Linked DNA regions of Schizosaccharomyces pombe. The protein of the gene in region 3 purifies or fractionates together with the protein of the main gene of each other region. This does not show direct contact. Each region holds a gene or a part of one and is shown on either strand. Other genes may lie near its edges. The genes, in order: spp42, ntr1, cwf10 and cwf5.

Region 1 (10,535 bases), on a different chromosome or scaffold from region 3:
AAATTATCGCATATCAGGAGATATCTCTTCTGCTTGTAAAGAGAACGCATTTTTTGCACGAAATGTTGGAGCTGAATTTGCTTATCAAATTTGGGATGCTTTGTATTTTTCACTAGGGGTACTTAACAATTCTGATAAAGGAATTAGTGAATTAATAAATATTCCTTTTGTTTCTGCTAACAATTCTATGGCTGATGATGAGAAAGGTCGAAATTTAAAAAATTTAACGCAAATTTCAACGTCCTCAACCCCCGCTCATGATAATTTATCATTAAATGATTTTTTTGAACCACGGGAAGCATCTACTCCTTCAGAATCCTCTAATTCATCTATCGAATCCGAGGACAATCTCGATAAAGCCGTCCTTAATAAGCAATCGCAATGGCATGATTTAGAAAATCCGATCGTATTAAAGAAAGGACAAGCACCGGTTAATAATTTTTCAACTGATAGCCGGGCAAGCATCAATTCATCCTATTTACTAGATTCTGCAGCATCAAATTATTCTGGTACGTCACATAACGAAATGTTCAATTCATTCCACAGAAGTTCTGTTACATCTGCTTCAATCAAATCGAGAGAAGCCGTATTGAGTGCTGGTAATTCTTCACGTCGAGCATCTATATTTTTAGACCAGTTATCATTACATGGAGATACTGATTCTGAAATTCCTATCGATGATCTACCTCCTATTGAACTTCCTTATGTTGTTACATCGATTATAAGCGACTGTATATCTCGAGGAGATGTCCAAACGGCAGCCTGCGTTTGTTCAGTTTTTTCATACCTAACTATAGATTTACCACGGATTCAATTAGACGATTTACTTGAAAGTTATGTTGATTTGTTAAGGAGATTCGGAATGTTCAGTGAAGCTACTCTCCTTATAAACATGTCTGGTTCAAAAAATCTCAAGTACATTCATTCAAGTAGTAGAGATTTGATTTTTGAAATGGAAAACAAAAAAGCAACCGGTAACGAGCAATCCGAAAAAGGTAAAGAAAATGCAAAGACCGTTACTAGTCTCAAAAAATGTGTTTATTGTGAGCTACCGTTAAGAGGCGTGCTCGTTTATCCTCCCGTTTGTGGCCACATCGGTCATGAAAGCTGTCTACGTTCTTGGTATTTTGATAATACAGACGATGCATTGCCAGTATGTCCAGTTCCCGGCTGCGGTGTCAAACTGCTAGATAAACGTGCTCTGATTTAAAAAACTATAATCTAACGCATATGTACTTGATGAAAAATTTGTATTACTATAAACTAATAATGATAATGTGGGATATTTTAAAAACCCATTTTTCTAGCTTTTTCACTAAATTCCATTTAACTAAAGCAAGATGTCATAAAGCACTCAAATTAGCAAAAATCAAAATATACATTAATTGCCCAAAATCCAGTTACGAAAATAAATAGCTCCTCATTCATGCAAATGCATCTGGCATATCTTCCTCTAATCTGTCATTCGTCTCCAGTTCAGTATAGCTTATTACATGAGTAGGTCTATGCTCTAAAGCAAAGAATGGCAGAGGGACATCAAGTTTTAAACTGTACGTCATTTTAGGACTGAAGCTTGCACCATTGAAATTATAATTCCATACGCCCTCTTCTGGTACCAAGAAAAATCCTTGAATTCTATCGGACAATAGCAGCTGACATTTTTCAGCCATAGAAGGTTCATACCCGATAGCTTCATCACTGTTGATATCCATGTTTTTTGATCCCCACTCAATTCCTTCCTTTGACACAGTATATGCAGCTAAGGATATCGAACCAGGAATGTAGCTCACTGTCAAAGTTACAGCTTTGGTATCCCATTCAGGATGAGAAGATAAAATTTTTGCATGTGTAGTTACATCGACAGATGATAAATAGGGAAGTTCAGAACTTTGAGTGTGTATCCAACCAAGGGGCTCAAGGTCTTCTAATATAGAAGGCTGAAGATCATGAGGCAGTTTAGAAGGAAGCTGCACATTTCTTATACTGCCAAGCTGTGGTACAAGTGCAATACAACGAATTTCCTTAATTTGAGGGTTGTCTGACGGACTTTTACCATACATATATCCGGCAACCTGTGTCCTTAAATCGGATATCGTAACAAACTTACGAAGCAGATTTTGAGGAAGAATGTATGTATAAGGAAAAGTTTCGCTGATATTATCAGAGTTAACATAAATGTTTTTTGTACGAAGGGGTAAACTGATAGATGATATGGCACGATTTCTCCATTCTGTTTTACTAGAAAACTTTTCATTTTCATACGCAGATGTTGTAGTAACCACCATTTCATCACCATGCACGTTAGTAGTTTTTGTGGTGACAGCCGTAACTTGGGCATTCTCACGGCCTTGCTTTTCTATTTCAGCTATCTGTTGACGTTGAAGAGAAGGAGCCGTTATTGTCATACCGAGAATAATATCTCGCACTTCCGAGTTCGTAAGACTAGCAACGTTAATATTGTTTTTCTTAGCATAATCAGCAAGGATCAAATCTCTAAGTTTCGGTTCAACATCAAGCCATTGTTGATCATCCAGGTTGGGCCACACGTGATTCTCTTTTGTAATTATAGACTTGTCTGGTCTAAGAATTAGCTTCGTTTTCTCAGTATTGACATTCAATGCGCGCAAGATAAGTATCAAGCGTGAAAAAGCTGTATACGATGATACCGATTGAAGCCAGTCATCATATAAATTGAAAAGTACCATTTGCGGTTCGGTGGCACGTAAAATCAAATCATTGATTTTATCAAGTTTAATAATCGCTTGGAAAGGAAGCTGTAATTCACTACCCTTAATGGTTATATTAGGAAAGTCCAAAAGATGAACTTCTAATGGATCCAACATGCCCTTTCGAGTTACTATAATCTGTCGAGGTTGTTCTTCAACAGGCAGAGAACGAATCAAAGCAGCAACTTCTTCAGCAGTCTTCCATTTCGCCAATTGTCCCAATCGTTTTTGTCCCGCCCAAACTGACGTATGAATAACTTTTAAGAACAATTGACCAGTTCTCGGATTGAATATAAAAATAGCACCATTAATGGGTTTCGTAGTCAAATTACCTTCAAATGTTTTATGAATGGTAACCCGATAAACATTAGTATCATCAACGAATAATTGAATTTGATTACTAAAGAGTTCAGCATAATTTGAGGAGGACAAATACTGCTCTTGGGGTTCAGAAGCATATAATTGAAGACCTTTTCGTATGCGTTCACGCAACACATATAAGGCTGGATTGGCTTTCATGATCTTGTTCATGCTCTGTTGAATTAATGGTTTCATACCAGGAATCCAGTTACCATATGCACTATGCATATTGTAACAAAGATCAATGCCGATTAAGACACCGGTCGGTGAAGGATACATGCTTTGAGCATCAGTGCTATAATCCAAAAATTTAGCTCTAGTATAACGTTCAATATCATGAGAATCATAATCTCCAAATCGAAGTTGTACATCAATCCAATATTTGTTGGTGGTAGTGTTGTCAAGCACATCGCGATTATCGTTCAATAAGGATGGCCTTGATACGTTCCATTTATAGGCAGCCAAAAGGAGGATATCTGCACAAGAACTATTCATTTTATAACTTTTACGAGGATGGATAGTTTCTTTTTGGACTGTTTCAATTTGCAATGACTCTAATTCTTGGTCAAGCACTTGACACAAATCCCAAACAACAGATTCATGAATTTTTTGCCATAAATGAGAACGAAAAATTTGAATGAGTGAAATCTTCAGGGTTGGAATTTTGCCATGCATCATGATTCCAGTCAAATCCAGTTGTACTTGAAATCCGACATAAACGTTAGCACGATTGATAGTGGGACTCCACCAAAGCGTAAATCTACGGTTAGGGATTTGATTTAAACCTGAACGCTGAGCATTAGTAAGCTTTTTGAACTTCATGGATTCTTCAAAACCAGATGCTTTTTCCCAAAAAAGACCTTCCCATGAAGGAAATCCAGTAGCTTTAAACATCGTATGCTCCAAAATACCTTCGACACCACCTAAAGCCTGAATGACATCTACTCGGTAATTATTTAATTGCCATAATTTTCCATCATGTCTTTGACTCGTCCACCAGAATGGATTGTTTTTAAGGAGCTGGTACTGCTTAAACTCAGTCCTAACACGCCATCCTTTATCATATGCCAATGTGTGTCTATCTTTTTGAAATAGAGTATTTATACGAGGAATTCCTCGATCCCATGAATCTTCCAGATCCTCTAAAGTTAAACGACGATTTTGTTGTAGAGCTTCTTGTCTCTTCATTGCATACTCAGCCCATACACGCTGAGAGTCAATAAACTCTGATTCCCATGGCTGAATATAACGATAAAGGTTTGGAATCAAATGTTCTCCATTGGTAGTCATTCCACTTCGAAAATGAGTAATACCAGTATCAGTTTGTTTCGACCATCTAAGATCAGATTGTGGAATAAGTACATGACCCATTGAAAGCATTCCTAATCCACCAAGTTCTTTAGGCGAGTAGAAAACGGCTGGAGGAAAGCGACTAGGCATTTTAGAATTTAATGAAATTTTTACTCGAGTTTGTATTTTCGATTCACATTTAACAAGTAAATCTAGAAGCTCGGGCGTAGAAATCGCGGCTTCCCTATAATAAGTCATGAGAGCTATTAGAGCAGTATTCCATTTATTAGCAATCTTGGTAAAGGTAGTGGAACCAGAGGACATAAGAATCTGACGTATACGGTTTCCAAATTGATTTATACCATCCTCCGTAACACGTATGAAAGCTTGCGCTGTCCGTTGTTTCGTACGATTATCTGTGAGATTCCATACACCATCCTTCAAAGAAAATTCTTCATTTTGTCGGATCTTTGGAAGGATTCTAACCTCGAATCCTGTCATCGAGAACAATAAATTAGGATTGTCTTTGCTGTAAACACTAGGAAAGGTATCCTCCCACTCAAGGGTAGTTAGTGATCTAGGTAAACGATTACGAATCTCCCAAAAGACAGCACGTCCGAGATTCACGTCGTGTTTCATGAGTCTCATACGAGCATCTCGAGGCCAACAATTTTTTTTACCTTTAGAATAATTTACAACATTGCTGTTTGTGGGATCAGGATTTTCATTCAAAAATCGTTGAATCAAATCACGGGATTCTTCATCAGTAAATCGAAACATTATATAAACTTTATCAATATAGCGTGTATACAGTCGAATAGGGTGACTGGTCTCAGTTGCCTGATCTTTGAAGTGTAGAAAATCATTCGGTGCATCTGCAGGACCAGCTATTTCTGTAGCGCGTTGAAGGCCAAGTATTAGTAAATCCAACACTAATCCATAAAACTGCCAGATGAAACTTGAAAATTGTAAACCACGGACTAGGCCATACGAGTTGGTATGCGACATATCCTTATATGACAAAACAACGTTGTTTTTAGCACTAGCGTAGGAAGCTAAATTGGTGTCCATTAGTAATGACATCAGTCTATTAAGAAGTGTTAAGTCAACTTTCTCAAATACTTTAGACAGCCTAGTTTCCATTAAAACGTTACATTCGCCGTTGGAAGTTTCCCAAACATCTGTAAGATTATTAATTCCTTGGCACCATTTGTAAACAAGAAGAGGTGGAGGTTCTGAATCAGAAGGCTTTACCCAGGAAGGAAATAGGTGTCGACGATCGGCCTCAAACCAAAGGTATTGATCGAGATAAGCATCACAAATTTTCTCCATCGGATCTACAGAATAAACAGGAATCAAGTGAGAATACATATCCATAAACTCAATCCCTACCTCTTTAAAAGTACGCATTGTCAATAAACGCCTTTTAATTTGGGACAGCATCTCATGTGGATTATCGTAGGCTTGTTCCACTAATGCTAATTCCTCTCGTTGGGATTGATTCAAGCGACCCTTCACCGAATACGCTTCTTTTAAGCGTTCAAGTGCTAAAACAAGAAGTTTCGTATCATGTTTGTACGAAAGTGGAGGAAAGGGAATAGGTTGGAATCGCCTACTTTCTAACCAATGTACAAAAGTAGTATATATAGCAACTGCCTCATCGGCAGTTACATAAGGTCCATCTTTTAGATAATTATGTTGCCTTTCTTGTTCAGCTTTTAACCAAAGCCTAGTTAATCTGCCAAGATTCTTTTTCGCCACGGTTTTATCAACAGTAGCTCCTCGACGAATACGTTCACGATTGAAGTGAGCGACTGAGGTCCACCAATCTGCTTTTGACTTCACATATCTCAAAATCATATTCTCAATAGGTGCAGGGAGACCCGGAACCTTCCAAGGTATGTTAGCCTTCCAACAACGCCAAGCTTCACTAAGATGCTGCAAAATGGTTTTGCTTTTGCCTTGGCGAATTCCTTCAGGTATCATATCCAAAATATCATTCATCACTGCAGCCCTCAATTCTAGATCTTGATGAGAATCGACACGCTGCTTGGTTATTTGTTTTGCCACTCCTGTAGAATGACGGCCTTCAAATTGTCTAGCAAGCAAATTGCCCAGCCAGCGCTCTAGCAAAGGAACAATTCCGCGTAGAAAGAAAAGCCATACACGCCAACTGGGAGCCCAAAACCCACAACCTGGACCTTTGCCAACAGGACCAGTGTTGAAGCGATAATAAATAAGATGCTTGAAATCTTTGCAAGCACGAATCTGCCGCATCAATCGATATTTATAACGATACATTCCCGTAAGTTGACCAACATGATTAAATATGTAATGTAATCCATCAGCTAGCTGATATGCGTCAATGTTTCCCAAACGATACTGTACATGAGAATCGACAATTAATTTAGTAAGGCGAAGTATTTCGCGCATCAAGTGAAATGCATTACCAAACCTAGATTTCTTTCTTTCCTTCGTAGTTAATGTCTTTGTAGGTTTTAAATTACAGTTGTAATCCAAATGTAAATATGTCAACCCTTTTCTGTGAATAAGTAATTGCAGCATGTTGTACCCTTGGCGACAAACTTGGAGACCAGCTTCAACCCAATCGATAGAAGTACTTTGAAAAAATTTAGTATTTTTTAACTGTCTAAGTAAGCTGCGATTGGTGTGCGATTTGGGATGCGCCATGTGCAACTTATTCATAACATGGGATTTTAAAAGTTTTTGATATGACACACGAACTTTAACAGGCTGATTAGGAGGACAATGCTCTAAATACCAATGCTTTATCAGTGGAACATCTTGCGCACGCTTAGTCGCACCAGATCGCTTATTAAAAGGATGGGGTGCCCACAATAAAATCAGAGCACTGGCTGTGTGCTCAAATTCTATATCTTCGGAATGAAAGAAAGGATCGAAAGGGATTTCAAAATTAGGATCTTCTTCTATGGCAGAATCTTCGGGAGAGGTATCTAGTTCATGCAAAGTGAGTTGGCGGGAAGTGATGGGGTTTATTATGGGATCCCAAAAAAAAGCCGGAAGATCAGGATCCTCAGGAGGAACGAAAACATTAGACGGTTGGTGGTATTCACTTAGTGCAACGCTTCGAGCTCTAGAATTATAAAGGTAAGGAAACGCTATCCGGTATTCAGTTTTAATGGGATGTCGGATAATAAGTTTATAAATGTCATTAAATTCATTCCAATCTTCCATTTCTGGGGCTTCGTCTTTGTATAAAGGTTCAAATTTCGGACCTCCTGGGATAGCCACGTTCAAAGCTTTAGCCGTAAAGAAACTATTGTCATTAAACAAGTAAAAGTAATTATCATCGCGTAAATCACTCAAAAGTTGGTAACCTAAACGATGTAAATTAGCCATCTGAGGTAAATTAAGCTTCCAACGACGATAGGTTGGACCATTTACATGGGGAGTATCTTCCAAAGCCTTATTTTCGTAAAACCAATCCATAACAGGAGCGTCATCTTCTTCATCTAAGTCCATTCTAATAGCCTCTAACGGCTCTAAATCAAGCAATTGATCAATAGAAAATGGTGGCTCTTCATCGTCAAAAGGAGGAAACCGCAAACGCTTAAAATTTTTTCGATCACGCTTCTCGCGTCTCATCATCATCCACATCGTTCCCCATTGAGCAATAAAATGCGGTTCAATTACGCGAGGACTCTCGTTTACAAAAGTTATAGCACCGGTTACATGATATAAAACCTTGACCTCCCTGTATTCTTCCCAAGGCATTGGCATGTTCTCAAGCAATTTTAGCACAGCATGTGGCAAGTACTTCAAAGCGCCCAAATAGGAACGTTTATCAGCACGAAACTTCCTAGAAGACATATCTCCCCTGTCTTTCATAATTTTGCGCAGGTGCTCAGGCGGAAGATCAGCTTTCTCTGTTTGAACATAACCCTGCTTCCTTTTGACACCAAACTTTGATTTTTGAGAAGCGCGCCATTTGCGTGCTCTTTCGTTAAGTTGCTTTTCAAGATTTCCAGACTGTGCTGGAGTCTTGTTTTTTCTTTTCTTCACATAACCTGGAGGTGGAGGAGGTGGAGGCTGTGAAGGAGGCTCAAATCCAGGCGGAGGAGGCGGTGGAGGAGGATTCCCCGGTGGTAACGACGCCATTTAGGTAATGGTATTTGTCAGCTGAATTGTGGTAGTGAATATTACTTTGTATGGTGGTGACCCTCGCCATTATTTGTGCGTAATATTCTTTTGTGCGTTTTATTTCATATTAGGTCTATGTAGTCTTCTGCTCATAATACGTGTTTAATGTATATTTTTTTACACGCTATACGGGATTTGAAAATTCAAATTTTCTTCGTTAAAATGCAACACGCTTAAGAAGTTTGTCAACCAAACACCTACCCATATCCAAAGGTTAATTTGAACATAATCATGCTCAATCGAATCGCCTTATAAGAATTAGTAAAGATGTATGTATTGACATAAATTACATTTTGTTATAAAAAAGTGTTATTTGTAATTATAAACCTTTAACTAATTCAGAAAGTATAAATTACCAAGTACAACTAGTATGCATAAACCAAAAATTCCTATTCCTTGATTTAGTGTTTCAGGTTCAACGGCTTTAGTTGAAAAAAAAAATTTGAAAAATAACACCGAGTTAAATAAGATTTGTACAGTATAAGTAAACACAAGTAGTGATAAAAAAACCCCCCACACTAAGTGAATGAAATGGGAAAACTGTGCAAATTATCAGAATTAAAGGGGAGAAAATATCACATAGTATACATATTTCGCCAAAAGAATATGGACAAGTATTAATGTGCAAAGATATTTGACGGTTTTAAGTTAATTCGAATTAAATCATTGGGTAGTTAAAGAGACGGAAAAATGAACAAAGTGAAACGTCTCATGAATAAAATTTGGAGAAAATCAAATGTAAGAACATATTGGTGTTTAATTTGAGACGGCCATCCAAAACATCCAAAGTTAAAACCTTGTTATATTGAGCAGACAACAAGTCGTCCAAATGCAATTCACACCTTGGGCTCGAAACTTTAACTGTCGGGCTTGTTGCTTCCAGAATAAATTTGCCAACTTCATCGGCTGATATAGTAATATACAATTTTTCTTTCTGCGGCATATGAGATATTGATACCAAAACTCCTCGGTCATAGAGTTTAAGAGCTGGGTACTTGAACGACCCAAAGCGAGGAACGCGTCCAGATTTTCGGAGATCTCGCATGTGAAAATACTGTTTAGAAAAAGGAATAAGCTTCTTCTTACCCTTCTTTGATTGTAATGTTTCCATAGCTTGTTCAATGTATTCGTTATAACTTTTTAGCTGCGAATCAAGGAAAGCTCTTTTTTCTCGTAAGTTAAGCAAACTTTGATGTCCCGCATCAAGTTCACGCTGTCGTTGCATCCTTCTTCTCGACTTATTACGGATATCTAGAGCGATAGAATTTACCATATCTTGGTAATTATTCCGTCGGTTTGCAAATCCAAGCTTTTCCATTTCCACTATATTGCTTAGTGCAGTGTATTTCAGTTCTGCAAATGACATTGAAAAGATAGAATCATCAAACAAATCATAATTCCTTGCATTCTTTTCAGATTCTTCTGCCAATAAATTTTGCCATGCTGCTTCGTCTGAATCTGTAACCGGTTTGACAAGTATTTCCAAAAGATTAAGGCCATTTTGAATTCGAATAATAAATAATATATATCTCTTTGTCTGAACAATAAGAGTCCGTTCCTGAGCAACGGGATTTTCTATAGTGCAAAATTTGGGATTCAATTCTAGTTTGACGTCAGTTTCATCTTGCACAAAGTCATTGTCTTGCTCTGAAACAGGACCTAAGCTATTGACAACAGCGCGTAATGGATCGTTCACATCAGGAGGAGCAATACTATCTATGACATATGCAATAGATGAATAAATGCCTAAAATATCGTCTCGCTTCATGTATATTACTGGCCGCTTGGTATTAACAAGGTCTTCAAAAGCATCGAACTCAAAGTACACCTCTGGATCAACCACATCGACAAGCCTTTCTAGCATCAACATGGTATCCTGCTTGGACACCTCAATAAACTCGGAGAGTGGTCTAAAAAAACCAAGTTGCTTAGAGTCACAGGACTCGATTGAAAAGATCTCAGACAAAATGCTTGACA
Region 2 (7,314 bases), on a different chromosome or scaffold from region 3:
CTAATAAAACAATTATATCAAACTCTTGGAAAACCGAAGGTTTGTTTAGTACAGATATTACTTACTTGGTAATGTGACAACAAATGAAGTCCAAAGTTGATGTGAAAAAAAGGTTTTAAAGCAAACACTCCAGCAACTACAGATGATGTAGAAATTGTCAAAAGAAGGAATTTAGTAATTCCCATGTTTGACGGTACTATACGTTTTGTAAGTTAGAAGTCTCATTACAAGCCATTATCAAATGAAGCTCTAAAAGAAAAACAAAAAGAATAAAAAATATCGTTTAACTAGTCATTAACATACCAATATTGGCGCTAGACATGATTGCTATGGAAAACGCATATCCCTAGTATGTCAATCCTCGAATTAATATTGAGTGCAGCGTTGCAGTGTTAAAATACGCTATATAATGGAAGTATATAATACATTTATTCAAAATCAAGATAGATCACTCAATTAGGCAAATTTTTTTTATGAAATCCTTTTAAAGTTGGTAAAATTGTATATAAGTACTTACTTTGTGTAGACAACCATTTTACTTATACATTTTAAAACTCGTAATTCTTTTCATTAATGCAGCGCTGTTAATCAAGTCTAAGAATATTCATAATGATATTGATGCAAATCAATATTCCCCTTCACAATTACATTTCTAGTTATTGTTAAACATGAGGAGGATTTCGTTGAACCCAATTGGATCATAGGGCGTATCTTCGGAAGCTCCAGGAGATTTTTTCCAAATAATATCGTTTCGAAGATACACAGTTATTCCACGAGCTTTACTGGCTTGTGTTGAAATGCGGAACAAGGCACTACCGGTCGACAAATGTGACCGACGCAAAGGTACAAATAACAACGAATTTTCAGCACAGAACTCTTCAACAAGTTCGCGGAAACTCACTAATGGTTCATCGTAAGAAGTGGTATCGTCACTTTCAGCAGTGAACTCATGTTTTTCTTTCGAAAATTGAAGGTTGACCCCTTTAGTTGAGTCTTTTGCAAATGGAAGAGGAGCCGTTATGGATTTGTTTTCTAAGCATTCATTCATCATATCCAACCCTTTTGAAAATCCCTGTTGAATATATGCATTGGATAGCAAATCCTTCGGAAAAACGGATTTCCACCACGTATACCATTCACTTGCTTCATCAAAATTAGGAGCTTCCGTTAGCCATTGATAAAGGGTTTCTAACCATTTTGGAAAGAAATGATCTGCAAAGAGTTGCCCAAAAACCATAGCTTTAAACGATCCTTTCCAAGACAAAATGATAAAAAATATTTCAAGGTCTTGGTTAGATGGGTCAATCACTAACTCTTCATCCATTAACTTTTCCAACTTAGGCAATATAACTTTCTCAAGTAAACGGTCTAAAGCATCATTAGCAAACGCTGATCTCCAGACACTAAAGTCATCGATACTTCCATTCTTTATTTTCCATGGGGACAAAATTAGAGAAAACTGAACCAAAACACTTTGCAGTAGTGAATCTGCGTGCTTTTCCAAATAGGGTAACCACGGGAAAATACAATGATGCAGTGAATCATTTTTCTTCAATTTTAATTTAGGGTTCCATTTGCTTACAGCATCTTTGAGCCTAGGGAGTATATCATCTTGTATCAAAGAATCTTTAACTTTCTCTGGAACCACAGGGTCCCATGCTTCTAAAAGTTGCAAAGCCTTAAGAGAATCCTGAATAATCCATTTCTTCAGTTCCTCACCAATTTTTTTTTTCCAAACAAACATCATAAATGACTCATAGTGTGTTAAGCTTTGACCTTCTAATTCATCATCGAATTCCACATCAATATCCATAAATGTACTACTCTCTTCTCTCTTGGGCCTAAAGTCTTTGGAATATAAAGAATTTTTCCACGAAAGAAAACTTTCTAACATAAAATATGGATGTTTCCAGACATCCCAGTTTTTTATCGGTTCTGAAAGTACAAAAGCAAGGATTGACACTGCGACCGAGTCAAGCTCAAAATGCATACTTGCCTCTGAAAATTCAACCGGTAACGTTTCAATTAAGTTATTTAACGGCTGAAGTCTTTTTTCGATAACATCAATTTCGGCCTCAGGTACTGTAAACTCCATTGACCTGGATTTTACCTCCATAACTTTACCCAAAAGCTTTTCCAAACGAGATATTTCAACCGATTTCTCGTCGAATTCCGTTGTGACCCTCTTTAATTCCATTTTAACATAGGCGCGACGGGCTTGTAATTGTTGCCATGCAGAAGCATGGTGTTCACATTCAACCCGAGCAAGCCTGGAGAGCTGGTTAATTCCAGAAGTGGACATATCACGACCTTCTAAACCCAATTCTTCTTTATTTGAAGTCACAAATTCGATTTCCTTAGTATCATTTAAGGAAGCATCAATGAGACTGGCTAAGAACCTAGGCAAGTTATAACTTCCCATATCCTTTGAAATTTCTTCAGAGGATTTTAAAGGTTTCTTCTTTTTTTCTCTTAAAGGTTTTTGTTTGACGGTATGTTTCTCATCTTCACTATCAGAGATCTCACCACGAGCAATTGCCTCTTTCCTTTGCTTTTCGGTCCGTTCTCGAACGGCTCCCAATCCGACACGTTCGGGGCGTAGCTTAGATTGTACAGGTTCAGCTATACCCTCAGCATTGGCACCCAAACCTTGTCCTTGTTTATACCCCATTTTTTCCAACATTTTTGCGCCAAATCCAGTAGTATTAAACTTCATCTTTGGAATATTTTTCGCCTGAGAAACCTCATCATTTTTATTCTTTAACTGTGGAATTGAATGCGCCTCCAATAAATCATCTGCTGTCACTTGCTTATTTGCTTTAACTTGTTCAGATTTCTCAACAAAAGAAATGTTTTTTCTACGAAGTCTAGCACTTCCAATCCCCGAGTTATGAAAACCATCTTCATCTTCTTCACCAAATATTCCTAGCATGTCCCTTTCTTTTTGCTGCCCACGAAAAGATGGACGAAGACGTCCTTCTTCCAAAATTGAATCACCATCTGAATCCTCGGAAGATGAATTCATATCGACATACTCATTTTGCATATCAACCCAAGAATTCAATATAAATAAAAACCAATGAAAACCGAAATTTTCTATTTTGGGTCAGTTCTCCAGTGGGTTAAATATGGATGTCATATAATGAGTTTTTGCGCGTTACGTTCTTAAGCTTAAGAACACGCGAAAACGTCATTATTTATTTTATCTTGTCAGCAATACTACACTACGCTATGATACACTACGTTGCGTATCACTATATGTCATATGTTGGAATACTAGCTAAGATCCGTTTATTGATAATCACGGGTAACTATCCGTCTATATACATAGTTACCCGTTGATAACAACTATTTAGAAATATTATAAATACCGTTACAACTGAACCTCGTTCCTCAGTTCAGTTATGAGCTATATTAGTGATAGGTAACATTATAACCCAGTTAATACAATACCTATACTCAGTTGCTACTTATACAACCTGTGTATTGTAATATAATAGACCACAAGGAAAACTCACCGCAGTTCTACGTATCCTTAAATCAGATACCAAACTGCGTAGCTTACATATCTGAATAAGGACATTAGTTGCGCAAAATATCTATAGCTCTTCAAAAAATATCAAAATATTAAATTACAATACAAAGCTTTTTATTATAATAAAATTAAAGTCGTTTTTTTTATTGGAAACCAGAAATAATAATTATGCAGCTAACCTATTTTATTATCTGTTTACAAACTCTTAAGAAACATTAAAAAGGGCATTATACCAAAAAATTCATATTTTACTATTTGGCTTTCTTAACATCATTGGAAACATCCATACCAGCGTCTGAACTGGACCGTTTAGGAGGAGAATTAGTGTCAACAGAGTGAGTTTTGGCGATTAACTTTTTCTCTTTAACTTGAGCTGCTGGGACTTCAGAATTGCTTTTATTGGAATCAGTGTTTTTAGAAGCTTCCAAACTTAAAATTGCAGGGCTATCTTTTTTCTTCGATTGCTCCAACTCTGCTCGCACTCTAGCTAAGTTCTTTTCCAGCATGCTCAACTTCAACTTGTTACGCATCTCGAGTTCTTTTCGGATGTTATCTAGTTGTTTTTGATGCGACTGAGCAACTTGTTCCTCAACATCCTTCTGTAAAATTTCTCTGCGCTTTTCCCATTCCTTTTGCACAAAAGTAGTAAAGTCGGCAGTGGAAGTCGAAAAGTCAGATATGGACTCGTTGAAGATTACTTGAAATGTAACTGATAACATCTCTTCTGTCTTTTTTAAGTTTTCCAAATCTTTAGTATCAGCATGTACCGAAGCGGACTCTGCTTCCTCGGATGACACAACTGTCTCTTGCAAAGCTTTCACTTGATCTTGTAAAACCTGATTTTGTTTCCTGAGTAATTCGTTTTTCTGTAGCTCTTTTGCAATTCTCGAACGTAACCTCAAAACTTCCTGTTGCATGACTTTCTTCCTTTCCATTTCTTCTTCGTTGGGTATTTCAGTATCCTTACTGGTTCCCTCAGATTTATTACTATTTTGTCTGACCTTCTCAAGCTCCTCCTTCGTAGTATTTAAGATATCCATAATTTCACTTAGCTTTCGCTGTGTAGAAGATAGTTCTTCCTTAGTGCTATTGAATTCTTCCAGTGACACCGTACTTGGTTCAGACTGTGTAGTAGCAGTGGGGGTTGCAGAAGGTTTGTTGAGTTGTTCATTGAGCTGATGACATTCCGCAACCTTGGCTTCTAATTCAGAAGTCTTTTGCGAAAGTTGTTGACGTATTTGATTGTGCTTTTCTAAGCTCTTGTTAACTACCTGCTCATATTTAGTTCGCCAAGCAGCTGCTAGTTTTGTATTCTTCAACTCTAATTGTTCAATCTTGGATTGGTTTTGCGCTCTCTCATTTTCCAAATCTTCGCTTTTTGATTTAACAGTTTCCAATTCAGATTTCAAATGACCAATTTCTTGATTTAACTCCTCTATTAAGTTTTCTTTGGAAACAAGTTCATTCTTTAAGCGTGAAGCATCACTAGACGTAGATGTGCTACTGTTCAAAGATAGTAATATTTCTTGGTTATGACGCTTGTATTCTTCGTTGCTGTTTTCAAGCTTTTTTACAGCTGCTTTCTCTGTTTGAAGCTGTGATTCTAGTTGTTCTTTATTAAGTCTAAAATTCGCCAAATCAGTTTTAAGAGTTTCTATTTTCTCTCTTAACTCTGTGATAACTTCCTCGTTCCTTTCTAAATTTTCTCGGAGAGATTTGTTGCTCTCATTTAATAAAGCAACCATGTTTAGATAATTTGAACGTTCCCCAACGGATTCAGAAGTACTGCTAACATCCTTTTCCGTTATACCTCTTTGCAGATCGGCGATAACTCGATTCGATGATTCAACGGTTCGCTTGAGTTTCTTATTTTCAAGGAATAATAATTGTCGTTGGCATGAAATAATCTCCATTTCTTTGGATATACGCTTCACATGATTCTGTAAATCTGATAATCCTAATTTCATAACAGAATCTAAATCCGGGGATGGGCTAGTTATTTCTGCAAAGTTGAGATTGGAAGATTGAAGTTGGGTTAAAAGCATTGCGTTTTGCTTTTTGAGGACATAAACTTCCTGTCTCAAAGGATCTTCTTTTTCACTAATGGGAAAGGGCTGAGATTCGTTTATACCGGCCTTTAAGGCTATTTCTTTATTCAAATCTTCAACCTGTTCTAATGCCTTCGTGTAATCCTCGCGCAGTTTTTGAAGAGTCGATCTAGCATCGGCATGTCTTAAAAGTTCCTTTTCATAATCTTCACGAGTTTTTCTTAAATCTTCAGTTACCAACAACAACTGTTGTTTATAATCATTCTCCTTCTCTAAATGTTGCTTTTCAGCATTTCGGTGTGACGAAAGCTCATTGTTAAGATGCTTATTTTCCTCTAAAAGCAAGGCAACTCTTGTTTCGCTATCTTTAGTAATATTCTCACAGCGTAAAGAAGAAGAAGCTATCTCATCTTGTAGAATAACTATCCTTTGTTCAAGAGAAGTGATTTTTAAATGATTTTTTTCCAAGGACTCTGAAGTTTGCAATCGATACTCATCATACTCAGTTTTAACTCTTTCAACCATTTCTTCGGCGAGTTTGCTTGCGGCCTGTAACTGTTCAATATTCCTTAAAGAATAATTGTATTGGGATTCTAAGGAAGTATGTTTAGATTGCAAGTCACTAAGCGATGATTCTAGCAAAGCTTCCCTTTCGCTATAGGACGTATTTTTTTGCTGTGTAAACTTGGCTTCCAAAGTAGAAAATCTTTGTTTTTCAAGTTCAATGACGCCGTTTAATTCTTGGAGTTTTATTTCCATCATTTGTTGATTATCTAACAATTTCCTGTTGTCTTCACTTAACGATTGTTTTTCGAGCATTAATGTCTTAATCCTGCTGGAGTACTCAATTCCGCTCTTTTCCAAAGATTTCTGTAGAGAATGAAGATCATTACTCATCTTTTCATTTGACTCCTTCAACTTCTGCAAGGAAAGGCTTAAGCTTTCCTTCTCAGATTCAAATTTTACTTTTCTAGCAGCATCAGATAGCTGTTGCTGGTTAAGAAAAGTTTGAAGATCTGATACAAGACTCATTAGTCTCTCGCGCTCAGCCAAAAGTTTATCGTTTTCAGATATTAAACGCTCTTGCGTCCTTTTCCGTAAATCTTTTTCACCCTTCGAAGCATTTAGTTCACCTTTTAATCTTTCAGCAAGTGAGTTAACATGTAATAATTCTTCGGCAAATTTACTGGCTCTCTGATCCTGTCGACTAATTATATCCTGTAAATTTTGATTAATACTACGAAGCTCCTTGGCTTCCTTTTTAAAGGCTTCAACGTCATTATTAGCATTAGTTAATCTATCAGTAGATAACTGCTGCTGATATTTGGAATTTTCTAACTCTTTACGTATTGCTTCCATCTCACTCAACAAATCCTGATTTCGCTTAGACAAGGATTCCTGAATAGCTGTCATTTCGTTACGATAAACTTCGTAATTTTTCTCAAGTTCTCTTGTAGATTCATCAATGGATTTCATTTTGTCATCAATATTGCCCGCGGAAGAATTGTGAGACAAAATACTGCTTCGAGAAGTAGCTAACATTTCTTTCAGTAAATTTCGTTCATTAAGTAAGGACTCATTTTTTATTTTTGACGAATTTAACTCACTTTCCAAATTTTTGATTTGCTCTGAAAGTGTATTTGAATTTTCTTTAACTGCATTGGAAATTTGATATTGGACAGTTTGCTTTTGGATTTCAACATCGCATTCAAGGGCCCGCACTTTTTCCCG
Region 3 (7,979 bases):
GCAAAGATATAAGCCAGGTTTAATAGTAATAAATATAGGTATCAAAACGTTTAATAAACCACAAGATCCGCGTGGTTTCAACCCATTCTGTAGCTTCTTAAAAAAATAAAATAAACAGTTCACGTTATTAAAAGAAGCATTAAAGATTCAAAACTTTAGTGAATCTAATTTTAGACCGAGCGTTTCGGCAAATTAAATAATAACAATCGCAGCAGCTAAAACAACAAATAAACTAAAGAAAATCGATGTCTTGCTATGAGTTGAAGAAGCCCCGGAACTGTCTGTCGATGAACTATCACCAACAATGACCAACAAAATGCTAGTTTGAGTTGACTGAGATGCATAAGTACTAGATCCACTAGAAACAGTTTCCACCGTAACCACATATACAGTTGACCTTTCGTATGTATGGCTTGAAGAAGTTAGAAGTGAAGATGAGCTAGCAGTCAGAATTGGTTTTGAGCTCAAGCTCGATAATGAATGGCTAGATGAATGACTAGAGCTTCTGCTAGAGGTGCTGTTGTGATAAAAAGCTGAAGATACTGGAGCAGAAGAGGATTTAGAAGACGAGGATGATTTATGACTTGACAAAGACGAGGAATGAGATGAAGAGCTCGCGGGACGAGAGCTTGAAGAAGAAGAACTTGTTAACGTAGAAGACGAAGTGCTCGAAGAAGAAGAAACAGTAGAAGAGAAAGAAGAAGATGACTTTGAGGAAGAAGTAGTAGAAGAGAAAGAAGAAGAGGAAGGAGAAGATGATGATGATGAAATAGTTGAAGAGGAAGAAGTAGGAGAAGAAGAGAACGACGACGACGAAGACATAGAAGACGAAGAAAGGGTGGAAGAGAAAGAAGAAGAGGACGACGACGACGATGAAATTGTAGAAGAGGTTGAAGTGGGAGAAGAAGAGGAAGAGGAGGAAGAAGAAATAGTAGAAGAGGTAGATGTGGGAGAAGAAGAAGAGGAGGAGGACGAAGAAATAATGGAAGAAGAAGAAGACGAAGATGAAGCAGTAGAAGAGGAAGAGGAAGAAGACAAGGACGAGGAAGTAGAAGATGATGAAGAAGAAGTAGAAGGAATAGAAGAAGTACTTAATGAAGAGGAAGTAAGTGTCGAACTAGAGGAGGATGAAGGAGAGCTCGATGAAGAAACAACACTTGAGCTAGACAAATAGGAGGAGCTAGTGGAAGTAGGAGCTGCGCTACTAAAGGTTGAAGAAGAGGTGGAGCTCACAGATGGCTGACTTGAAGAAGTGCTTGAACTCAAGGAGGAAAAAGTTGAAGAAGTCAAAGGATCAGAAGATGACAAACTTGATGAAGAAATACTTACTTCAACACTAGTACTGCTTGGTAAAATAGCTGATGATACAGAACTTGGGTCCAGAAGAGAACTGGATTCCGTACTAGAAGGCGTATATTCAGAAGAAGTAGGTGAAAAGAAAGAAGTCGACGAGGGAAGCTGACTAGTTGCGGGATCAGAATAAGAGCTGACCGGAGACGAGTAAGAATTAGTTTCTGAGGGAGTAGCAGATTCAGAAAAGATACTGGGTTCACTAGAGCTAGTGGGTGTCGCATACCCGTAGTAAGTAGGAGTTCCTCCAGTTTCAGCGGCACGACCATAATATCGGATTTCCTGACGCCTTTGTAGTTCCTCTTGAGAATCTCTGCCCTCAAGTTGATTTAAAGATATTTTTGTGAAGCTGGAATTACCATATATTTGATGCACCAAGAAGGCTTGCGTAAAAATGTTCGATATGCAAAATACGCAAATGAGAGAAAACAAAAGTCTCAAACCCATCTTCAGTTTTAAGGATAATAATAAACTAATCTAACTAAACTCGCTGTATTTTACTTCCAAAAGCAGAGCACTTCCGGAAGTTGTATATGTCCCTAAAGTCTTCCGGTATACTGAGAGGGTAACTTCATGACATATGACCTCGGGTGTTTATAGTACTATGAAATTACGTTATTTCAGTTGAGTGTTAGTTTCTTAACATAAAAAAATAAATAATAGAAGTTATTTATCTATATACTAAAATCGTAAAACCAAAATGCGACTTTTCCTTCTGATCAAGGATTTCACAAATAATTTACGGCTTCAAGATATGCGCTGATTTTTCGGATTTCATACACTGTAAACGCGAGATTTGAAAGCAAAAAAAAGTTGTTAGACTTCTCGAACTTTCATAAATAATCGTATACTTTATTATTAAAATCTACCCAATTTATTTTTTTTTGCAAAATCCATTATAAAGACTTAAAACCGACATTACAAAGAGAGTACGACACCTGCTTCTTTCAAAGAATCAATCATTTCTTGATCGAAATAGCGAGTTGTAGAAACATCTTCCACCAGACCTTTTCTACGTCTTGTCTTAATCAGAAAGTCTCTCGCCAAATCAGAGCCACGTGCGGGTTCTAATGGCTTGGGCTTGATAGACTTATCCAGTGGATCACCAGGTACTACCTGCCAATGATCAAATACCATTTGACACATAGCTTGACCCTGAGTATGCACTCGTAAATCTGTTTCAAATCCACAAGAATCAATGACTGGAATAAGTGCTCTCACCAAATATAATGGGGAACCTGGCCGAGGGATATCTTGGAGGACATGACCACGACGACGCGTTAATAAATCATAAATAATAGGAAGACTGTCAGCGGGGGCATGTACTTCAACCATATACACTGGTTCCATTAGCCGTGGAGACGCTGTTAAAAAAGAAGAATAACACACTCTCCTTGCGGTTGGAATAATTTGACCACCTCCTCGATAAATTTGTTCAGGTGCAAGCACTACATCCATCAGGCGAAAATTCACGTTTCGGATTGTCTCATCACATAGAGGACCTTCCCTAGTCCCCCATTGAAAACCTTGTTTAATGTATTCTTTTACGCTATTAAGCACGTTTTTATCAACATCTGTACTAAGAGTATCATCCCGCAATATATTCGTACCACGATCATCGGGACCAAAAGCCCAGATGGAACGTGAAGCTAGTAAGTCCCAATCGTAGTTCTTTTGGAAAAATTCGCTGATTCTTTTTTGAGGCCAATTGATATTAACTTTTCCATTTTCAATGTCATTAGAAATTCCTTTCTCCAATGGCTCAACTACCATTGTGATACGATTTTTTTTATTTGGAGTATCTGAAAAACACTTGATACTTGATGTGTCCACCGCAGTCTCACAGAAACGAGCAACTGGATCGGAAACTCTGATTTCGATTTCAGAGTATAAAGTCCGAAGATCATAAAGTAGACAATCCATATACATCTCACCAGTACCGAAAATAGTATGTTCCCCAGATTCTTCTACTTTTGTGATAGATAGTGGGTAGCTTTTGTTTGTTTTTCGTAGGCCATCAAGTAGTTTTGGTAATTCTGATGGATTGTGTGGCTCTACAGCCACCTTGAAAACACTCTCGGACATGTGAGCAATTGGCCTGAAAATGTAAGGATCATCTTTCAAATTGTCCGAAACGATGGTTGCTGTTTTGCTAATAGAGTTATCAACACCTCCTAAAAGAACTAGCATGCCGGCAACAGCTCCATCAACGTGAAGACGATATCGTGCGCAAGGTACACATATTTCAGCAATATGAGCAACCACCATATCCTCTTCGTCTTCTAAAGAATAATTTTCTCCAAGAACTTTAACTTTCTGACCCTTTTTAACCTGACCACTATATACACGAGCAAATGCATAAAAATTATTAGCATCGACGGTGTTGTAAAGTTTAGTAACATGCATGACTAATGGTGCTGATTCCTCACGACTCATTTCTAAGATAGCCTTGCCGATACTAGAGTTTATAGGCCCAATATATGATTGAGAGGCTTTACGAGCGGCATTTTCTCGAGGCGATGGAATATGTCTAGTAACTGCATTCACAAAACCAACGGGGAATCCAAAAAACGATGCGCAAATTAGTTGCAAGAGTGGTTTAGGATCTAATAAATAATCCTTGGGTTTTAAATAAATTTGGAAAGAAGATAAGTGTTTTTTGAGTTTTTCGGCTTCGTCAGAAATAGTAAGGGTATGTAATTTATACAACGGTTCTAATATGAAATGGACAAAGCTTCTAACGCCAGAGCCATCCAAGGACTGTTTGGCAAATTTTCTGGTTTTCGAATCGAAATAAATATCCCCCCACAATCTTTTAGAAAATAAGTCCACGTCGATACCTCCATGTCTATCTATATAGAGTTTTGCGAAACTAGACAATGTAAAACAATATCCAAGATCACATGAAGCAAAACAAACGTTCCCTAACTCAGGAGAAACGCGATATTTCAAATCTTTACTAATCTGGCAAATGTTATCGTTTACTTCGTCGATAACGTGTCGAAGTTTATGGTAAGCATCATTCGGAGGGAGACGTAGCTCAAGGATTAACCTATCAACTTTGTTCAAGACGAGCACAATTGGCATATCGTGAAGAATCGCATGTTTGATAATTCTAGTGGTGTTAATCATCACCTAAAGCATGTTAGAATCTTTATATCTTCAAAACGCAAGAAAAGGCCAGAATAACTTACACCTTCAATAACATCAACGACTAATACAACACCATCACTTATGGCCATAGGAGCAGCGACTTCATCAACAAAATCGACATGACCAGGCGTATCGATGCACTGAAATGCAAACGTCTTACCCTTCATATCAGAAACTGCGAGCGTAAGTGGAGTACTTTTTATAGACATCACACGTTCTCTTTCAAGATAATGAGTGTCGGTATATCGAAGTGAACGCCTTTTTGGCGGCTTGGTGTCAGGATGGGTATAATAAACGAGTAAATCTAATAAAGCGCTTTTGCCGTGATGCAGATGGCCAGCAACAATAAAAGATCTAACGTCATCTGTCCCAGTTAAGAGACCGAAGAGGAACCTTAAAAAGTTAGAAAAGACATTGTTACACATACTTACTCTTTCTTGTATACAGTATCTGGGACGTTTGTTGTTTCTATAGCAATCCTTTTGTGACGAATTGGCTCAATAATGGGCTGGCTTAAGGGTTGAGTATCCTGTTCCTGAACCATGATATCCACGTTGGACCCATATACCTCTTCAGCGCTAGGATAATATTGTTTATCCTCGTGAAGAACAACGGCATTCTGAGGCTCTAGATGACTCAACGCCATTTCCTCGGCCCTTTCAACGTCTTCTAATTCTTCATCAGGAATGACCTCTTCAAAGGATGGTACCTGTGCAATTGTAGGGCTAGGAGCCTGAGGAAACAGCTCCTCTTCATCTTCTTCATTTTCAGGGCCTATGTAATTTCCAAACCTGGCGAGTTAGAAATAACTATAAAATGTTTTTAGACCACTTACTCATCATATAAATCCTCTTCCATCATCAGTTACTGCCAAGTACCCACAATGCACAACTTTTGGTAATTACCAAATTTGAAGTAAAGTGTAACCAAGTTTTCGAGCTTTAGCGCATTCATGTCTCAACTGCGATTTATATCTCGTTAAGCTTTGATAATGAGCTAGAGAAATCATTGTCTTTATACTCTCTAAACGAGATATGATCGGCTCAGTAACTTCCACTACACTCTTTAAGGTTGCCGAAGAACGACATCGTCTCATTTTGATAGAAAGGAATGAATCGTAATTATTGAAAACCAAATATACTTTTTTATTTACCAACTTCCTCCTTAAAAGTCGTACATGGGTGTAATTGAGACCTTAAAAGACTGGTTATGTCTACGATTTGAGCTACCGACCCATGTTTAGCAGCCAAATTTATAAGCTTTTCGAAGACAATAGTAAGAGTAAATAGCCATTGTAAAAGTGCGGTGCAAACATTTTTAGAGCGCAAGTTTTGCAACTGTACAAAGTATTTAGTGTGTTTATAAAACACACAACAAATTGCTGAATGTCAATAACACTAATAATATACTGGCATCATCAACTAAATTCAAAAAATGTGTTTCCTTTCAAATACAGTCCTAGAATTGTTATTATGTGCAATGTTTACCTCGATTTACGGAACTGGTCAACCCATTTGTGGTCTCCAAATGATAACTCGTAGTACGATTTGATAGCACGATCAAGCATAATTCAAGAAGATGGAAAATATAAATCCACATTATCTTGAATAGAAAGAAACATAGCAATAAAGATCATTATCGTTATGTGCGACCATCGTTGCTCATGAATAAAAATGGGCTGGCAAAAGAAGACAGAGATACAGTTTAGACAATTCATCCAGCATCAGATTTTGGAACCATAAAATTATCATTAAATTGAATAAGAGCCAAATCAAAAAGGACTTAGCTATTTACTCTAATTCAAAATCCAACCAGCAATATCGTACTATAATAGTATTAGTCATCGTTATGACAATATATTGTCTAACGCGCTCTTACATCATACCACTGGATTCTGTAAATAGGGTATGTAATAAATCAGTTTTCGTGGTTTAAGATAGTCCGCATCAATCCAGCTTATGTAAGGAATACACCATGTAAAATTACTATAAAAGGAAACGGCGTCTGACATCCCACACTTACCGGATCCACTATAGTACTTGATCTTGATTTCTAAGAAAAGCGACAAAAGACACAAAAATGAGTAAAACTGCAGCTTCTTCCGCCGTAGATGCTTCACAAGCTGGGACTGTCAAGGTTGGCGACATGGTTGTCAATAGAATGGGATTCGGAGCAATGAGAGTTACCGGTGATGGTATATGGGATGAACCCAAAGACAAAGAGGCTTGCATCGCAACTTTAAAACGTTTGCCTGAACTCAATATTAACTTTATTGATACCGCCGATTCTTACGGCCCTGAGGTCAGCGAGAATCTTTTACGAGAAGCTTTATACCCTTACAAAGGACTTATAATTGCTACCAAGGGTGGCCTTGTTCGTACAGGTCCAAATGAATGGCATCCTTGTGGAGCACCCAAATTTTTACGTCAAGAAGTACTTATGAGCATGCGTCGACTTGGAGTTAAGCAAATTGACCTCTGGCAACTACATCGCATCGATCCCAAGGTTCCTCGCAAAGACCAATTTTCTGAAATTGCAGCTATGAAGAAAGAAGGATTGATTCGCCATGTTGGATTGAGTGAGGTTACAGTAGACGATATCAAAGAAGCTGAACAGTATTTTCCGGTAGTTAGTGTTCAGAACTTATTCAACCTTGTCAATCGTAAGAATGAGAAAGTGTTAGAATATTGTGAACAGAAGGGAATTGCGTTTATTCCTTGGTATCCCTTAGCTTCAGGAGCATTAGCCAAACCCGGAACCATCCTGGACGCTGTTTCAAAAGACCTTGATCGTTCCACTAGTCAAATAGCTTTGAGTTGGGTTTTACAACGCAGTCCGGTTATGCTACCTATTCCTGGTACTAGCAAAGTAGATCATCTCGAAGAAAACGTCAAGGCCGCTGGAATCCAATTATCTTCTGAGGTGTTTGCCAAATTGGATGAGGAGGGTAAAAGCGAAGATGCTAAGCGTCAAGAAGAGGAGAAGAAAAAGTCTTCTTAGATTTCTCTTTTTCTTTCTATGGAAACTTACTAATGCCACGATGTTTGGAATTTCCATATGTTGATAATGTTATAAAATGATCTCATGATTAAATTAAAAGCATCTTTTTGTATTGATTTTTCATATTCCTCGTAAGGTCTACAAGGCACTGTTTAAGAGAAAGCAGTTTTTAACATGCTAAAGTAAAAATACACGGCATTCACAGAAAAATAGTTATACCCGCGGCTACGTAAATAAAGAAGTTTACGAATGCTTATATATAATATGTATTGTAATTTTCGTTATTTTGATATTTATTATTGTATGGGAATTAGATATTGAATTTTTTTTGTTATAATTTAAACAGGAAAAAGATACTATATAGGTTGTTAAATTTAATTAAAATCAGGAGGGATATTATAAATTCGTTCCAACACTTCACCAACGGCACCTTCAGCACTTGAAACGTCGGAAATTGCCTTGGCTGCCTTTAAGGC
Region 4 (5,834 bases), on a different chromosome or scaffold from region 3:
GCTTAACATATAATATGATACTTAACCTCCTACGTGTAGAGACGCTTAGAATTGAAGACATGATTAAACGCAGCTTTAGTGAAAACGTTAACCAAACATTGGTGCCTCAGCACGAGGAAAAAATAAAAAGCTTTGAAGAAAAGTTGTCGGCTTTAAAGAAGGAAATGTCTGATGTTGATTTGAAAGAAATTAAAAGTTGTTTATTGAGCAGTGAATCTTTTAAAGAGTATACCAAAAAAATGCACTTCCGAGCAATAACTACTGCAAATGGCAAAAGAATATTTAAAGATGGAAGAGTCATTGTTTTTCAACAACTTGATTTTACTCGCACTGTTGGAGTTCTACTCGGAACATCCATTAGAACCAATGCTTCAGACTGTACACTGGAAGTTGCATATTTAAATCCACAGAACAACCTCAAACGACCATCGGATTTACTTGCTTTTGCTGACGCGTTCAATGATGTTTATGATAACGCTATCTTTGATGAATCAAACCAATTCAAGTATGGCCTTATCAATCTTTCCGGTATTGAAAGAGTCTGCAATACGATCCTTCGAATTGATTCTGGTGGAATTAGAGACCGTCGAGGGGGGGCTTTTCGAAAACTTAGTGAACAATTTGCATCAATTAAAAAGTTTTCCGACCTGCTTTTTGAAGAAGTTAATTGGAGTAAAGTCAGAGACTTTGAATTTTGTGAAGCTTTCGAAAAACGAAATTTTCTTCAGAACAAGTTATCCGGAAATCCAATTATCTCGACTCCAAACTTTCTTACTCATTTCGCCTTAGCTTACCAAGAGTATGAATTGGAAAGCAATATCGATAACTTATCTTCCTATATTTCCGATCAAAACCTAGAGTTACTGCCTGATTACGAACAACGGATAAAAGTATTGCAAGAACTAGGATATATTGACGCAGAGCGAACTGTTTTACTAAAGGGAAGAGTCGCATGTGAAATTAATTCCACCAGTGAATTGGTATTAACAGAGTTGATTTTGGAAAACAGTTTGGCGGACTTTTCTTGTGAAGAGACAATAGCATTGTTGTCTGCATTTGTTTTCGATGAGAAAACGGAGGTTGAACCCACAATTTCTCCTCATTTACAAAAAGGAAAGGAAATGATACTATCAGTGGCCGAGAAAGTTAATCAAATTCAAGAGCACTATCAGGTATTGTATTTTAATGAAGGTAATGATTTTGAATCACAACCACGATTTGGTTTAATGGAGGTTTGCTACGAGTGGGCTAGAGGGATGTCTTTCAACCGTATCACAGACTTAACAGACGTTTTAGAAGGATCGATTGTAAGAACAATTATAAGACTTGATGAAGTTCTACGTGAATGCAGAGGAGCAGCCCGTGTCGTCGGCGATTCTTCCATGTATACGAAGATGGAAGAGTGTCAAAATCTAATTCGCAGAAACATAGTCTTCTGCCCTTCACTGTATATGTGAATTTAATAGTTATATATATTTGTAGATTTAAATGATATTCATATGAAATTTTATGTGTTTTTCACGAATTTTATTTGTCTTAAAAGTCTTCGTATTCCACCTTGCAAAGTTTAACACCACCACATATTTACAAAGATTAGCATTGCAAGAGAATTGCGTTTCTAATATGTCTCATGGACCAAAAGGTGATATAAATAAACAAGAATGGGAGGATGTTGAATTTCCAAGCATCTGTGAACGTTGTTTGGGCGACAATTCATATGTTCGTATGACTAAGGAGCCACTTGGACAAGAATGTAAAATTTGCTCAAAACCTTGTACAATCTTTCGGTGGATAAAAGAACGCGGCCAAAAGCCTGGAAAAACTCAAATTTGTGTTGGTTGCGCCAGATATAAGAACTGCTGTCAGAGTTGCATGCTTGATTTGCAATTTGGTTTACCGGTAAGTTCAATATTTCATTCAACTATAATAGTCAGCTAACGTTCCATGAAGATTGCCCTGAGGGATGCAGCCCTAAAACTGGTCGAAAGCGGTCCCACTAACGATATTAATCGCGAATTCTTTGCTCAAAATCAACAACGCCTGTTAAGTAATGGCGAAACGGCCTACGATAGCCAGGAAGCAAGCGCCGCTGCAAGAAATCTTGTTAAAAAGGTAGAAAAACGAGAATTACATTCAAGACCTCCTAAGCGAAAATTAGATGATGTTGAGTCTAAGCAAATATTAAAGGAGGCTCGAGCATCTGATGCATCTTTAAATGCAGAACGCCCATTATTTCCGGTTAAAAAAATTATTAATGGGAATGTTTCCTTGTCTATTAATATGGAACCTCCTAAAGATAAAAAAATCGTAAGTGCGACTTAAAAGTAATTTAAGCTTGATGGCGCATTGTATTGTGCTAACATTTAGGCATCCCTTTTCCTTATTGGCGTCGAAGATGAACTAGCTGACTATAAAATTCGTAAACATTTTGAACAATATGGGCCTCTTAAATCAGTTGTGTGTTCTCATCGAGCAAAATGCGCATTCGTAAACTTTAAAACTCGTTCTAGTGCTGAGATTGCGGCGGCGGCATCTCCCGATGGAAATGTTGTTATAGAGGGGTTTCGACTGAAAGTTCAATGGGGAAAACCTCGTTCTCTTGGAGGACCTGAGGGTGAAGTACGAAACGCAAAGTTGGCAGACCTTGTGATGCGAGGTTCATCCCATGGAAATAAAACCTCCCAAAAATCTACGATTAAAAACATTGAAAATGAAGATCATGAAAATACTAAAAGCCCTGCAGTTGCTATACCCATTGACCCCAATCAACCCCGTTACCGATCTCAAATTCCGCGGTGAAGTCAGTTGGTCATTTAAAACCTTTGTAGTAGCTATTAACTTATTTTCTCTAATACTGACAAGCTTTATTCTGTATTTTCTTGTTTATTTGTCTTTGCACCTTTTCTGTCGTCTCTCGGTCATTCTCCTTAAATAATCAAATATCTGCTGCTTTACCTTACTCAGCAAAACACTTTGGGTTTTGCATATTTTTTACATTATAAAGCATCAATTTATTTTTTCTGAATGGATAGTATTGAAAAAACTCCTGACGGAGAAGAAGAGGAAAAAGATGTATGGGACACTGCTCTTGAAAAAGGTGGATGTGTAGAAGAGCACCTTCGACTGAATGATTGCTATTGGGATACTCATGATTGGAGGAAATGTACAGAACAGGTAATTATATGTCTTTAAAAAATTTAGCTAATTCTGATATTTTTAGATGGAAGAATTCAGGAAATGTTGGGAAAAGAGACATGGTCCTTTGCCAAGTATCTCAGACAAAAAAAATAAAAATTTATCTTAATGAGTTTCTATATCATGTGATTTTGTGAAAAAAATAATTATTCTGTTTACGGCAGTTTTAGTACGCTGTTATTAGGATGAATTCTTTTTATTGAAAAAGATATAATGCATGCGGAACTAATTAATTGGATTCTTCAAATACGAAGACAGTGTTTCAAATCATTAACTCATTTGATATAATTTTTTTGAATATTTTCTGCAATTGCAGAGTTTTCAGCTATTTATTTTACGAAGTCTCAGTTGTCATAGTGCATCAATTTTTCTGTGTTATGTGGTATGGTAAAGCAAGTTATGACTTAGTATTGAATTGATAGGATGGAGTTTAAATACGCAAAAACATATTTTACAATTCAACGTTGTTGTCAAATTGTATAAGTCTGTTTCAAATCTGATCCATCGATATTGGAAAAGTTCTGTACTTATAACCCGCTTTTATTGTTGCATTTGTTGAAAAATAAAAAATTTGACTTTAGAATGTTTTCATATTGAACATGTGAACGTATTCAACTGTCAAAAAATGTGTGCAGTTTAGTAAATAAGCGTAATTTACCCATCAATAAACAATGAAATTCATCTTTACAGTAGCTCTACTAAAAGGATGTAATTTTATTTTATATAAGCGCATACAAAAACACGCTAGATCAAAACATTAACTATATATACATTTTCTGACTCAATCATAACTAAGCACTTATCACATATGTGTAATTGATTTAATGATTATAATACAATTTCTCCATCCTCTCCAGTTTTTGGCCTTTTAGGGCTTGAATGAAGGTCAGAAGGTTCATCTTCCTCATCCCGTCCTCGCTTTTTAGTAATCTCTGACTGCTTTTGACTATTTTCAGAAGATTTTGGACTAGATGTTACTTCCAATATAGTTTCAGCAACATTATTCTCTTGCTTTTCAGATATTTTAGAATTTATGGTGGAAGTAATTTCTTCTGTGACCTCAAAGTGATCATCATTTTGTTTTAGTTTTTCAATATTTTCGGGAGATTTCACATGTGAAGATGGGTCCTTTGAAGCTTCAGATGTATTATCATCTTCTGATTTGAGAACCTTATTAACCTGAACCAAAGATTCACCGTTTACTTCACTGTCCACACCCTCAGTTGGGGGTTTAGGTGATACCTTTGGCAAGTCATTTTTATGTTTTCCTTCTTCAACCTCAACGCTTTCTTTTTCCTCTTCATTTTGGACAATATCACCTTCAGCATCTGTTTGCATAGGACTTGCAAAGTTTTGAGAATTGTGCTTGACATTCTCCCTCTTTTTCATTTCCTCTAATAACTCTTCTCCTTCTATAATATGAATATCAAAAGCTGGAGGAATAGAGGGTGTAATTTTCGATGTAGTCGGTTTGCCCTCAATGGAATTACAAAGCAATTCAACATCACCTAGTCCGGTATCCGAAAAGTTTTGAAGATGGCTATTAATTGCTGAACGAAAGGCACGCCATGTCTTCGTTGCCAAGGACTGTTCATGGAAATGCTTGTCATCATCTCTAACTGCCTCTTCTATTTCAAACTTGTCTGCTTTAACGCCAGATAAAAAGCTCTCAGGTGATGGAATCCGGTACCTTTCCTCCTTTTTGAGATCATCAAGGGTATTTTCTCCAGCCTGCTCCCAGAGCCTCGACAAAGCAGCATTTCCCATAGCAAATCTTAATTTCACTGGGGTGTTTGTAAGCTTTTTTAAGCCTTCGACAGCTTCATCAATAGCCGCTTTATCTACTAGGGGTTTTTCAAGGGAAGGGCAGCCAAGCCCTTTCCATAATTTCCAATTACCCTCAATATGTATAATTTCTTTAATGGTTCTTTGCACAGAACCACACCGGGCAGTATGTAAGAAACTATATGCTTCTTTGGATAATTCATTTAACTTTGAGGTCTACATATTAGCAATCAATAAAATCAGTTTTTTTCGAGTCTAAAAAAGAACATACATCTTCGTCAGACAAAATAACAATGGGAATTACCGCCTTATTTGTCCATTTTTCAAGAGTTCTCCTTTCAATTCGTTCTTTAGAATGGTCAAGCAAAAAGTCGAAAATAATAATTAATTGTAAAATAGCCTGTAACCGGAAATCTTCATCTGAAAGTTGGTATTCAAAAAGCGACCGAGAATATATATATTTAGAAGGAAATCCTTTATCCAAAGTTATATATTTTTCAGAAAGTAATGAGCTAGAGTTTGGATCAATTGTAGGGTTTGACTTCCCATTGAAGAACGTATTTTGTAATATAGATTCGAATGCCTGTATTGCAGAACCAGCTGCATCTATAAACTTAGGTAAGGTATCACTTGCTAGTAATTTAGGAGGGTTGGAGCACATACACTGCAAATCCCAATAAGCAGTAAATAAGGTATTAAGTTTTTTGTGATATGAGAGGTCTGTTCGGTCCGAAATGGGTGTGGATGGTGGTGACAGTTCTACCTTCCCAAAAGAATGAACAGTATTATAATCTCCACGTAAATTGGCTCCACTCCGTTCTTCAGGGGGGAAAGCCTTACTTAGCAGAATATCG

What was found.
Region 1: the proteins of cwf10 (region 3) and spp42 purify together in Schizosaccharomyces pombe (affinity purification with western blotting; 2 studies listed by BioGRID, with this or other methods). This does not show direct contact.
Region 2: the proteins of cwf10 (region 3) and ntr1 purify together in Schizosaccharomyces pombe (affinity purification with mass spectrometry; 2 studies listed by BioGRID). This does not show direct contact.
Region 4: the proteins of cwf10 (region 3) and cwf5 purify together in Schizosaccharomyces pombe (affinity purification with western blotting; 2 studies listed by BioGRID, with this or other methods). This does not show direct contact.

What each region holds. Positions count from the first base shown.
Region 1 is NC_003424.3:2,648,719-2,659,253, reverse strand, and holds spp42 (U5 snRNP complex subunit Spp42), read right to left. Parts: upstream 8,536-10,535; 5' UTR 8,517-8,535; coding exon 1,425-8,516; 3' UTR 1,230-1,424; downstream 1-1,229. Other genes in the region: SEACAT complex subunit Sea2, read left to right, coding at 1-1,210; rng2 (IQ motif containing GTPase activating protein), read right to left, coding at 9,268-10,535.
Region 2 is NC_003424.3:3,187,746-3,195,059, forward strand, and holds ntr1 (RNA-binding splicing factor), read right to left. Parts: upstream 3,099-7,314; 5' UTR 3,047-3,098; coding exon 653-3,046; 3' UTR 501-652; downstream 1-500. Other genes in the region: Golgi Dsc E3 ligase complex transmembrane subunit, C-terminal UBA domain Dsc2, read right to left, coding at 66-196, 304-322; nucleoporin Alm1, read right to left, coding at 3,787-7,314.
Region 3 is NC_003423.3:4,049,986-4,057,964, reverse strand, and holds cwf10 (GTPase Cwf10), read right to left. Parts: upstream 5,410-7,979; 5' UTR 5,365-5,409; coding exon 5,339-5,364; exon of another isoform or gene 5,295-5,338; coding exon 4,935-5,294; intron 4,897-4,934; coding exon 4,545-4,896; exon of another isoform or gene 4,486-4,544; coding exon 2,269-4,485; 3' UTR 1,986-2,268; downstream 1-1,985. Other genes in the region: protein Mtl3, read right to left, coding at 193-1,797; SPOM_SPBC215.11C (aldo/keto reductase family protein), read left to right, coding at 6,583-7,503; odr1 (haloacid dehalogenase-like hydrolase ), read right to left, coding at 7,878-7,979. UniProt on the Schizosaccharomyces pombe protein: Component of the U5 snRNP complex required for pre-mRNA splicing. Binds GTP.
Region 4 is NC_003421.2:1,183,358-1,189,191, reverse strand, and holds cwf5 (Prp19 complex subunit, RNA-binding Cwf5), read left to right. Parts: upstream 1-1,569; 5' UTR 1,570-1,623; coding exon 1,624-1,899; intron 1,900-1,950; coding exon 1,951-2,307; intron 2,308-2,367; coding exon 2,368-2,799; downstream 2,800-5,834. Other genes in the region: Ski complex RNA helicase Ski2, read left to right, coding at 1-1,457; coa4 (respiratory chain complex assembly protein), read left to right, coding at 3,025-3,174, 3,221-3,304; THO complex subunit Tho1, read right to left, coding at 4,024-5,196, 5,252-5,834.